3 linked regions of the Nothobranchius furzeri genome follow. The protein of the gene in region 1 purifies or fractionates together with the protein of each later gene. This does not show direct contact. Links are inferred from orthologs where the notes say so. Each region holds a gene or a part of one and is shown in the gene's direction. Other genes may lie near its edges.

What was found.
Region 2: the proteins of neurl4 (region 1) and znrd2 purify together in Homo sapiens (co-immunoprecipitation; 4 studies listed by BioGRID and IntAct, with this or other methods). This does not show direct contact. The link is inferred for Nothobranchius furzeri from reciprocal best matches to the Homo sapiens genes NEURL4 and ZNRD2.
Region 3: the proteins of neurl4 (region 1) and mapk6 purify together in Homo sapiens (affinity purification with mass spectrometry; 6 studies listed by BioGRID and IntAct, counting the BioPlex papers as one, with this or other methods). This does not show direct contact. The link is inferred for Nothobranchius furzeri from reciprocal best matches to the Homo sapiens genes NEURL4 and MAPK6.

Annotation. Positions count from the first base shown.
Region 1 is NC_091742.1:53,442,340-53,445,989, forward strand, and holds part of neurl4 (neuralized-like protein 4), read left to right. Parts: intron 1-23; coding exon 24-89; intron 90-167; coding exon 168-583; intron 584-663; coding exon 664-775; intron 776-859; coding exon 860-948; intron 949-1,014; coding exon 1,015-1,087; intron 1,088-1,159; coding exon 1,160-1,433; intron 1,434-2,994; coding exon 2,995-3,176; intron 3,177-3,252; coding exon 3,253-3,338; intron 3,339-3,415; coding exon 3,416-3,578; intron 3,579-3,650. UniProt on the Homo sapiens protein: Promotes CCP110 ubiquitination and proteasome-dependent degradation. By counteracting accumulation of CP110, maintains normal centriolar homeostasis and preventing formation of ectopic microtubular organizing centers.
Region 2 is NC_091750.1:56,222,043-56,226,450, reverse strand, and holds znrd2 (protein ZNRD2), read left to right. Parts: upstream 1-1,570; 5' UTR 1,571-1,649; coding exon 1,650-1,665; intron 1,666-1,999; coding exon 2,000-2,151; intron 2,152-2,692; coding exon 2,693-2,777; intron 2,778-2,919; coding exon 2,920-3,359; 3' UTR 3,360-3,648; coding exon of another isoform or gene 3,649-3,661; 3' UTR 3,662-4,034; downstream 4,035-4,408. Other genes in the region: leucine repeat adapter protein 25-like, read left to right, coding at 3,649-3,661, 4,285-4,408. UniProt on the Homo sapiens protein: Might play a role in mitosis. Antigenic molecule. Could be a centromere-associated protein. May induce anti-centromere antibodies.
Region 3 is NC_091749.1:41,770,287-41,773,936, reverse strand, and holds part of mapk6 (mitogen-activated protein kinase 6), read left to right. Parts: intron 1-1,048; coding exon 1,049-1,193; intron 1,194-1,551; coding exon 1,552-1,716; intron 1,717-1,838; coding exon 1,839-2,034; intron 2,035-2,241; coding exon 2,242-2,359; intron 2,360-2,670; coding exon 2,671-3,650. UniProt on the Homo sapiens protein: Atypical MAPK protein. Phosphorylates microtubule-associated protein 2 (MAP2) and MAPKAPK5.

The DNA of each region.
Region 1 (3,650 bases):
AATGAATCTTTTTTTTCGGACAGTGCCTGAGCTCAGCTGCAGCAACGGCAGACCAGACAAGTTCCCCAACAACCTGGAGCCGGATGCTGGTGAGGACAGCCTCCCCACATCAGATGTAGGCTGCTTGGATCGGCGCTGACAACCATTCTCTTTCTGTTTCTTTGCAGTTCTGACGGAGCACCAGCTCTTTGACGTGTTCAACAATGCAATAGTGTCTTTTTATCGCTCTGAAGATGAGGGCGGAGGAGGAGGTGTAGAGGGAGGAGGAAACGCTGGGACTGACTCCTCCTCCAGAAACGACAGAGGTAGCAGCAGCGGAGGAGGAGGAGGGACGAACTGCGACGCCGGAACAGGAGGAGGGAATTCGGACCACAGCCCAGCCAGTAATGCGGGAGGGGTGGGATCTGGAGGCGTGACGGGCGGCATGACCACCAACGACGCGCTGCTGTTCCACGAAAAGTGCGGCACTCTGATTAAACTGAGTAATAACAACAAGACGGCGGAGCGGCGGCGGCCTCTGGACGAGTTCAACAATGGCGTGGTGATGACCAACCGGCCGCTCCGGCACAACGAGATGTTTGAGGTGTTTGGAGTCTCGTCCGTCTCACCTCCACATAGAAAACCAAGCGGAGCTAACAGAACAGCGTTTTTATTTCCAATTAGATCCGCATCGATAAACTGGTGGACAAGTGGTCGGGCTCCATAGAGATCGGCGTGACGACGCACAACCCCAACAACCTGGACTATCCCGCTACTATGACCAATCTGCGCTCAGGTGGCTAACAAACCCTCCAGACTTTTGTTTTAAACAAAAACACGAGCTTTAATCCATGAATGGTTGTACTGTCTTCTCCCTCAGGTACAATCATGATGAGTGGCTGTGGGATATTAACCAACGGGAAGGGAACCCGCCGGGAATACTGCGACTTCAGTCTGGACGAGCTGCAGGTTTGAGCCGACAGAGACGGAAAAGGTCGAGCTGTTTTACCTCTTTTTAATAACATCTAATCGTAGGAGGGAGACCACATCGGGTTGATGCGTAAAGCGAGCGGTGCGCTCCATTTTTACATCAACGGAATCGATCAAGGTGAGACGCCTAAACAAGTCATGATGTCACGCTAAAAGGACTTCCTGTCCTAACCGTGGTGTCATCATCCAGGGGTCGCAGCGGCCCAAACCCCTAACGTGGTCTATGGTGTGGTGGACCTCTACGGCATGGCTGTTAAAGTCACCATAGTCCACAACCACAACCACAGCGACCGCCTCAGACGCAACAACGCCATCATGAGGGCTCTGTCGCCCGACGTGGGTCGACCCCGGCCCGCCCTGTCCTTCACTCCAGACGCGGAAGCTCCCGACCGCCTCCTCTTTCACCCCAACTGTGGCCAGAAGGCGGCCATCATCTGTGACGGCAGGACGGCGCTGCGACCGCAGTGAGTGCTCGTCCTCTCTGGTTTATGATGGCTTCACTTTTATTGAACTATTTAGTAAAAATGCACAGATTTATGTTGATCAGTTTCTTAACTTTTGTCACTAATAATGAACCTAATGATGATAACGCAAGATGGAAGCTGTTTGCAATGATCTAAACTGACAGTTACAATGTTTTTGGAAGAAAGTCTTATTGGGGAATGAGTCCAGACGTTGTTTAGGATGCATCAGAAGCATTCATGAGAGGTAGAATTATATTTTGGTCCACACAAAGAGAGACTATCCGAAGTAGGTGTGCACTGATGGCAACATTTAGGCCGATGTTGCCGTTATGGCCAACGTTTTCCAAACGTGATGATCGCCGTCACATGACCAAACAAATGACTGACCACCAGCACCCGCCGTCCCAAACCTGTACACAAATACCACCTAAAGAACTAAACATTGGTTGTTGATATCGGACCGATACCGAAGAAAATGACTATCGTCGACCCGTATGCCAACGTTAAAGCTGATATTTTGTGCATCCCTGGTATAAACGTCAGAACTTAAAGTACTGGTGACACAGCATAAAGGAGATTTGAATCCAGACTGCAAACTGGGAATATGAAAGAGGTACACAAACTTTGCCCAATTACAGACAAACAGCAACAGGCCTACCTGAGATCATTAAAAAGGCTAAGATCCCAAATGGCCGTAGGTGAGGACTGGGCCTTGCTTTCTGGCTCAGCTCCTTCTTCACCGGTTCAGTGTCCGAATCGTTGCAGACGCTGCCCCAATCCGCCTGTCGGTCTCCCGCTCCCTCCTGAGCTTTGAATAATGACTGAAAGAACAAGATCGCAGATACAAGCGGCCGAAATGAGTTTTCTCCACGGGGTGGCTGGGCTCAGGCTTGGGGATAGGGTGAGGAGCCGCTGCTCCTCCATATCAAGAGGAGTCAGTTGAGGTGGTTTGGGCATCTTGTTAGGATGCCTGCTGGACGCCTCCCCGGGGAGGTGTTTCAGGCACGTCCTGCCGGCAGGAGGCCCCCGGTCGACCCAGGACATGTTAGAGAAAGTACATCTCCGAATGCCTACTGGAGAAGCTGGTGGAGGTGGCTGGGGAGAGGACGGCCTGGAACTCCCTGGTTGAGATGCTGCCCCCGCGACCTGGACCCGGACAGGCGGGAGAAGACGACGAGACAAGAAGATCCCAAATGGTTTTCCTGATGACTAAAATCTGTTATAAATACTACCAAGCTTAGTTGGCCCACCCTGTCTGGAAACCAAAAATAAAAAATGCACTGATTAGTTTCTTTGGCCGATTCCAATTTGGGATTTTTCTGTTGCTGATTTTCATTTTGAAAGCTTATGATTTCTCACAACATACTCAAGTTTATCAAGTAGGTTGATTTGAAAACTATAAATAAACTCTGATGTGTTTTTACGAAACCGATTCTGCTTTCTGAAAGCTTTTCACTTTCTCACAAAGCGCGCCAAAAGGAAAGGAGTAATAGATTACTGAAAAACAAGTTTTCCACGTTAAGCTCAAATGAACAATAATAAGGTGCTAATTTAACAACAGTGCAACAGATGACTTCAACCACGGTGTGGTTCTGAGCAACCGGCCGCTGCGCTCCAACGAGGTGTTCCAGGTTCGCATCGACAAGATGGTGGACAAGTGGGCGGGCTCAATTGAGATTGGTGTCACCACACACAACCCCGCCTACCTTCAGCTGCCGTCCACCATGACAAACCTGCGCTCAGGTGAGAGAACAGCAGAGAACTTTGTTGGTTTGTCGTCTTTCTGAGGAGGTCTGATGTGTGGGAGGATGCTTTCCAGGGACGTGGATGATGACAGGAAACGGAGTGATGCACAACGGAACGACCATCCTGGACGAGTATGGACACAACCTGGATCGGCTCAAAGTAAGCAGGTTTTTGTTCGTTCAGCTTTCTGTAACTCACCAGTTTTGTTTTAATTCTCTTTTTCCCTTTGCTCTCAGGCAGGCGACACCGTCGGCGTTGTTCGGAAAGAAGACGGCAGCCTTCACTTCTTTGTGAATGGCGTGGCCCAGGGCCCGGCAGCATGGAACGTCCCGCCCAGCGTCTATGCCGTGGTGGACCTTTACGGCCAGGCGGCCCAGGCCACCATCATGGATGACATGGGTGAGGACCAGAGGGGGTGATACCGTATGACGTCACGTCTGTGATCCCTCTGACTGTCTGTCCTCTCTTGTC
Region 2 (4,408 bases), on another chromosome or scaffold:
AGATAGATAGATAGATAGATAGATAGATAGATAGATAGATAGATAGATAGATAGATAGATAGATAGATAGATAGATAGATAGATAGATAGATAGATAGATAGATAGATAGATAGATAGATAGATAGATAGATAGATAGATAGATAGATGATAGATACATACATACATACATACATACATACATACATACATACATACATACATACATACATACATACATACATACATACATACATACATACATACATACATACATACATACATCACCACAGGCATATATAAGCAAACGTCGGATGCCATCTTAGATGGGCCTCCATTCACCCCAGTGCATTCATTTCTACTGAGGAAGGTGCTTATCCAACTTGAAATCACATTTTATCAAGCTTTTTTCACGAAATCAGACACATGGTATGGTATAATAATTAAAAGTAGATGAAATAAATTAAGATATAAAATTCCATCAGGTAGGCTAGAAAGGTCCATAGTAATCCCATGTGATCTGTTTTCAATAGTACGCCAGTTGTTGCAATCATAGATATGTATATAAACACATGACAAACACACGATTCATGACAGAATAAAAGAAAGTCAATAAATAGGTCGAGAAATAGTGAAAATACAAAATAATTAGCTGGGTTACATTTTATTGCTGGCGGCCCATTCTAGCTGACCGATGTAATTTGGATGTTGGTTGTCTTATTTTTTGGGGTGCACATTTTGCATATGTGTTCTGTTTATGTGGGCTTACCTCAAAATAATCTTGAAACATCTCTAAACAAAACCTATTTCACAGAACAGGAATAGATTAAGGCTAAATTATGTATGTATATATATATATATATATATATATATATATATATATATATATATATATATATATTGCTGGCTACCTGTCCAGGGTGTACCCCTCCTGTATGCCCGTTGACTGCTGGAGATAGGCTCCAGTGCCAATACAAAAAAATAAAAAAATAAATCCCCAAACACAGCCATTTGGACAAAAAATAATTGGCTGTCGTAAAATCGTTATTGGTTTTGTAAAACCAAATAAATTACTTATTGTGGTCTCAACCTGAATAACACGCAAATAGCCTATAGGTGGGGCACATGGTTCACAATTAAGTCACTTTCAAAAGCAAAACCGTTTATTTTAACATTTGCAAGTATGTTATCTCAAGCCTATGTGTTCTAAGGTTTGTATCAAGGCAAATCGCTTGTAAATGTGTTAATATTTAATCGAGTAAAGATTGTTTTACATCAAGCTGATCGCTCACCTTCCAGCTGCTACCATTGAGAGCAGAGGTCTGTTGTCTGGGGTAAGATGGCCGCCGTTTAGCTACGCCCTCAACTCTCGCTTTCACCAACTAGTGTTTATATCATGTATATGTCGATGGTTTATATACACATAGCTATGGTAGGCTGGAAAAAACGGGCAAATTTGTCCACTCTGCATTGACTTTGGACAGTAAGGAGACCCATCCAATATGGCGGCGACACAGTGACGCTCTCCAGCGCCGGGTGTCTACATGTCTATGCGCATCACCCCCACATGGGGGCGCTCTAACCCGCTGCATGGTTTCAGTTTGATGAACGAAGAGGAAGTCGACGACAGCGCCTGATGTCATCACGCAGAACGTGTAGCACTGAAGCAACATGGCTTTGAATGGAGGTATGTGAACTTAACTGTTATTTCCTTGCTAACTTTGCCGTTTCACTGTGTGTTTTAGTGTCTTACGTCGTTTGGCACTCATTTAAGCGGTGATTTCTGCGGTATTTTTATTTTTATTGTAATATTTTTCATCGCCACCGGGGAAAGTGTTATCTCCACGATAACAGCGTTGTATTTCTGGCTAACTTGTCATTTCCTGACCCCTTTTGATAAAAATTCAGCCAAACAACGAGAAAATAAATCACCACGCGTAAATATTAAAGCTGTGTTTCTGGTTGTGTAGCTTTGCACTGGTGCGATTCAGTTAATTTACTCCGTTGTTGCTGACCTGCAGATGAAGAGGACTTTGAGTGGGAACCTCCATGTGAGGCGGAGATGAAGGTGATCCAAGCTCGAAGGGAACGGCAAGATAAAATCAGCAAGCTGATGGGAGACTACCTTCTAAAAGGCTACAAGATGCTGGGGGAGTGCTGCGATGCTTGCGGGGTGAGTTCAGGCCCGAGGCGGTTCTGGGGTGGGTCCAGGGTGGGCCAGTGCCACCCTGACAGCAATCTTGCACCTCTCTGTGGCCTCCCTGCTGAGGACAGAGCCTAAGCATTAATAAGGAATTTATCTTTTGTTTTATGAAAGTATTTTTGCAAAATGTTTACTTACTGACTTATTCAAATTACCTTAAGAGAACTGCGGTTATCATTTTGTTGTAATGACACACTAAAAAAGGTAAAAGCAAATCTTCAAAACAAGCTAAGCTTAAACTCAAACACTGTCAAGGAACGCTCACCCCTCCCATCAGCGATTGTCCTTGGCCGGAAACAGGAACCTGCATTGCCAGAGGAAAAGAGATGGCGCTAAACACCGGTCACTGTTTTCTAGGTCCAAACATCTTTTGTTGACTGACTTCAAGTGGTGTTTTTTTGTTCTTTTTGGGCCTCTGGTAGTTTGTCCTGAAGTTGAAGTAGTAACAAATATTATAAAACATAATTATGGCTATATAAGTGATTGTGTGTATTCGTGTGTGTGTTTTCAGACTATTCTTCTACAGGACAAGCAGCAGAAGAACTACTGTGTCTCGTGTCAGGAGCTGGACTCTGATATCGACAAAGATAACCCTGGTGAGCGCCAGTTGTGTCTGCTCTCCCCTGATTTTGGAGCTCATTAGGCCCTAAAAAAGGGCAGCTGGTTCCTCTGTGGTGTCTTTAGGATTTAATCTCTCCAGTTCATATTTCAGTCCCACCTCTTTGTTCCGTTTTCCAGCTCTGAATGCTCAGGCTGCATTGTCTCAGGTGAGAGAGCAGCAGCTTGCAGCTCAGTCCCCTCCACCGACCCAAGCCTCTCAACTCAACGAGACACCCTGCAGCAGCAGTCAGGCAGGGGTGACGGTTCCTCAACCCCGACCAGAGCACTGTGAGGGCGCTGCTGCTGGAGGAAGAGCCCTCCTGCCTCCACCTCCCGCCCCATCTCCTTCAGCTCCTGTCTCCAGCCCAAGCGTAGCTCCCATTCGTACCCCTGTCAGTCCGCAGAGCGCCGCTCTACGACCTGTGCTGCAGGAAGCCGAGGAAGCAGTTCTTACTAAACTTCGCTGGGCCACTACCCAGTTACAGAGTTCATCCTCACTTGAGGCAAGCATCCAGCTCTGCAGCCTCATCACCAGCTGCGCCAGCTCACTGCGCAGCCTCAAGGAGCTCAGCCAGTAACCACAGGAGACTGGTTGACTCTACGGAGTGACGGGAATATCTTTTCTTGTTCTGGCTGCTGTAGGGTACAAACTTTGGGTCGGCTTTATCTCTCTGCCTAATTCTTTGCTTAAAGCTCAAATTAAATGGAAATTGGATCACAATTCAAATGTGCTCAAGTTCCTCTTGAAAAAGTGTAGGTGTGCCGATGGTAGAAGTATGTTGCTTTTGTCAAACTGTAAATTATGAGTACAAACATTCATCAGTTGTCAAAGCAGATCGACTTTCTTTAGTTGTCTTTGATCGTTTGATGAGTAAAAAAGGTTTGATGTAAATAACATAGTGTGTCTGTGAGGACATTTTGTAGTTCAAATTTTAAATTGAGACTCAGAATCTTCATTTTCATATTTAATCTAGAACATACACACCTTTCCCGCTGTACATTATTAGGACTTAATATTTGAAAAAATTAGTGATCCGTTTTCTAATTATGTGACTTAGAATAAATTCAGTTCTGCTCTGTAGATGATCATTTTGTCCACCAGAGGGCGCCGGTTTACATGCTAGCACATAGGTGGTTAAATAAAAAGTTTATTCTCAAATGTGCAACTTTCATGTAAATCCTTCGTTTTAACTCGCTAATCTGAAGCCTTTTGGAAACTGACAGTTTTTCTTATATAAAGTGTTTGTGATGAAGCTGTTGAATTATTTCACTGCCATTTTGTGTTTGGACTACATGACATGTCCTAATTTAAACAGAAACAAGATAAAAAACGTGTGAACTGATCAAATTGAGCAAATCTAGTAGAAAAAAAATAAATAAATGTAGTGATCAAATCGGCTATATCCAGTCCAGAAAATATATTACTGTTGCGTTTTAAACCATCAGGCTTTGTTCAGAAACCACCTAAGTAACTGGCTAGTGTCTTCATTAATCTGACATAAGGATTAATTAGCTGCATCAGGAAGGTTTTGAAGGCAGACATTAATGCATTGTGTCTCATTAGGGGACCACCGGTGAATGCCCCCATCTGCACAAAGAGCAGCATTTATTTATTACCAGGTGAGGA
Region 3 (3,650 bases), on another chromosome or scaffold:
GGTAAAGGGTAGTTTAGGTTTGTGAATGTTCTCTGGTGTTTTCAGTAAAGCTGAAGCAGAAAGAGTTCAGAACATTATCAGCTTCATCTTTGTTAGGTTTGTTCTGTTTTTCTTTTTTTTTTTTTTTTTTGTGGTTCTTCGTTATACACAAAGCAAAAGAAGCGTTACCTTTGCCTACATGTTTTGACGTCTACTGCTGCCTTCGTCAGAGCAACCGCCATTGTTGATGTCAGCGCTGTCGTTGGTGGCAACAAACGGGAATGACGCCACGAACACCGGCGGTTGCTCTGACGAAGGCAGCAGTAGACGTCGAAACATGTCGGCAAAGGTAAAAAGCTTTTTTTTGCTTAGTGTATAATGAAGAACCACAAAAAATTATTAATCAACTTCACTAACGGGGGTTGTGCTAGTGGCTAGTCAGTGGGACCAGAAATGAAGAGTTCTGCCACCTTAAAACGACCCCTCCTTCATTCAGATGGTTAAACAGCAATTTCATTTACTTACTTTGTCATCACTAACTCTGACCTGTAATACGTAACATTTTGTTTTGCTGTGCTTTTCACACCAACCATGCCATCTGGTCTTCGATAACCATAGGCTTCTATGTAAAGAACTATCTAATTGCAAAGTGGTGGTGGAAAACAGCAGACACGTTAACCACTACACGGTTTTAGGGACCCGAGTTGTTTTAAGACGACAGAAATTCACTTTGGTCTTGGCCCCAATCCGCCTAGCTGTTAGCTCGACTCCCCTGCGAGAGCTTCAGCCTGATGCTTCAAACTAGATCATATTTGGAGCTTTTTAAGCTGCAGAAGACTGACTGCTGATAATTAACTCTGCTTAAAAAAACTGAACGATCTTATTGTTGTGTTGAAAACCGGGTAATTAGTGGGGGAAATGGTCATCACCATTGCTGCTTGAGGCCCACAGCAGACTTATGACTTTAATCACTGAGTGGTTGCTGAGAAACCAAAGATAGTGTAATATGTCTGAATCACACTGTTCTTTTAACAAAGGCTCGTATGTTTCTTGTCTCCTGCTGACACAGGGCCATCTCTCTGAAGGTCTCGTCACAAAGTGGTACCGATCTCCACGGCTGCTGCTGTCTCCTAACAACTACACCAAAGCTATCGACATGTGGGCGGCTGGATGCATCTTTTCTGAAATGCTCACTGGGAAAACACTCTTTGCAGGTAAATGTTGACTTGGATTCATGTGTTAGCATCCAGTCTTCAAACTTATAGAAGAACAGTGTTTTTAAAGCTGTTTGTGTAAGTCAGAGGTAAATTTGTAGCACTGGTCTGAGGCGTGTGTTTGTCTTGCCTGCTTAAATCTGTTTAGGTGAGATGGTAGATAGATGAAGCACAGTTTTGCTTTCACTATTCTTAGTGCTCACTTTTTCAAATCTAGCAGAAGCTAGGTAAACCCTCCCTGAGCTGGGCACGAGGCATATTTACTCCCATGATCTGCCACTTTTAGACTTTCTAAACCCTCTCAGTCATGAATGTTGTGTAACCTTTCTAAGAAACGACCCAACGTCTGGTGTTTCAGGAGCACATGAGCTTGAGCAAATGCAGCTGATCCTGGAATCCATCCCTGTTCTGAGAGAGGAGGATCGGCAAGAGCTCCACAGCGTCATCCCTGTCTTCATTCGCAGTGACATGTCAAAGCCTCACACTCCGCTGGCCAAGCTGTTGCCTGACATTAGTCCACAGGGTGAGCTCAACATTATATATTCAAAAGAACTTTCAGAGTTGGGGGTAAGGTGGTCTGGTGAGATCCTTCATGCATCAGATCCTCTGTTTTCCTCTAAACAATTGCATTTTCCTCTTTTGCAGCCCTGGATTTTCTGGAGAAGATCCTCACCTTTAACCCCATGGATCGCCTGACTGCAGAGGAGGCCCTGGCCCACCCCTATATGGCTGACTACTCCTTCCCCTTGGATGAGCCCGTCTCTCTGCACCCCTTTCACATTGAGGATGAAGTAGATGATATCCTGCTCATGGATCAGAGCCAGAGCCACACCTGGGAACAGTATGTCTGACCATTTCATACGAACCACATAGAAATATAAGATTAGCCTTTTTAAGGAAGGGAGTTGTGGGGGGTGTAACTGTTTGCTTTGCTGTCTTCAATCTAAACTTTGACCCATGAGAACATATCATTGTTTACTGTTATCAGATTTTTTTGTCATTCGATGTGTTTTGTTGACTAAATTGTCCTCCTTCCATGTTGTAACAGATACCACGAGAGCCAGTTCTCAGAGGCTGATTGGCACTTGCACAGCACCCATGACCCAGATGAAGTTCAGGTTGATCCAAGAGCTCTCTCTGATGTCACAGATGAAGAGGAAGTACAGGTATGTTTCTTTTGTCAACATGCATGTCAGGGGCCTTCAACTCCAATCTTCAAGGACTACAATGCTGCGTGTTTTACACGTTTCCTGCTTCAGCAACAGAGTCTAATGGTTTAATCACCACCTAGTCCTCACCATGTTGAGTTCTGCAGACGCTTGTTGATCACTCCTTCATTTAAATCAGGCGTGTGGTAAAATTTGAATGATGGTAGATCTCGATGAGTGGACCCGGTGGCCCCAGGTCCTTGTAAAGACTTTTAGTTGTGTGCCTTTTTTATGTTACTAATTTGAGTTGGTTGGTTGTTTACATCCAGATTGATCCACGGAAATACACCGATGGAGATCGAGAGAAGTTTATGGACGAGCCATCCTTCGATTACTCAAGTCGCCATCCATCAGAGCGATCTTGGCAGGAAGACCATCATGAGAATAAATACTGTGACGTGCAGTGTAGCCACACCTGCAACTACAAGGCTGTGTCACCCTCCTATTTGGACAACCTCATCTGGAGGGACAGTGAAGTCAACCACTACTACGAACCCAAGCTCATCATCGACCTCTCCAACTGGAAAGAGCAGCAGAGCAAGGAGAAGGCAGACCGCAAGGCCAAGAGCAAGTGTGAGAAGAATGGGCTTGTTAAAGCCCAGATTGCTCTGAAGGAGGCTGAGAAGACCCAGAGCCATGCAGAGAAGGACAGTGCACAAGAAAAACACCAGACCGAAAGACCTCAAAGTCAACAGAACCAAGGCTTTGACTTTGACTCCTTCATTGCCAGCACCATTAAACTGAGCCTGCAACCTGAGCCCTGTCAGGAGGTGACTTTGCTCAGCGAAGTAGGCCTTCTGAATGAGCTCAACTTTTCTGTCTCCCAGCTGGAGGCTCCTCGCCCCAGCTCCGTATCAAAGACCATAAGTCAGGAGAAGGAAGAGAAGTGCCTGGTAAACCTTGCCCAGTTAGGCGGAGGTGGTTTAGGGGTTGTTGCAGCAGACTGCGTTTGGCCCGCTAAGCCCTGGGAAAACTTCAGCTCCGGGGAAATAGTCGGGGAGAATGGATGTCTGATAGATGAAGCATGCTGGGACATTCGTAACGTGGACCACTTCCAGAAGGAGAGCACTTACACCAGCTACCTGGACCACCTGTTCAGCCGCAAAGAGGAGGGAGTTGCAGAGACTGTGACCAGTTCTGAGATGGAGCCCTCAGTGGTGAAAGAGCTGGATGACGGCTTCCTGGACAGTAGTGCAGAGATTGTGTTTAATATGCAGCTGGACACTCTGGCCCTGCCTGGCTTTGACAG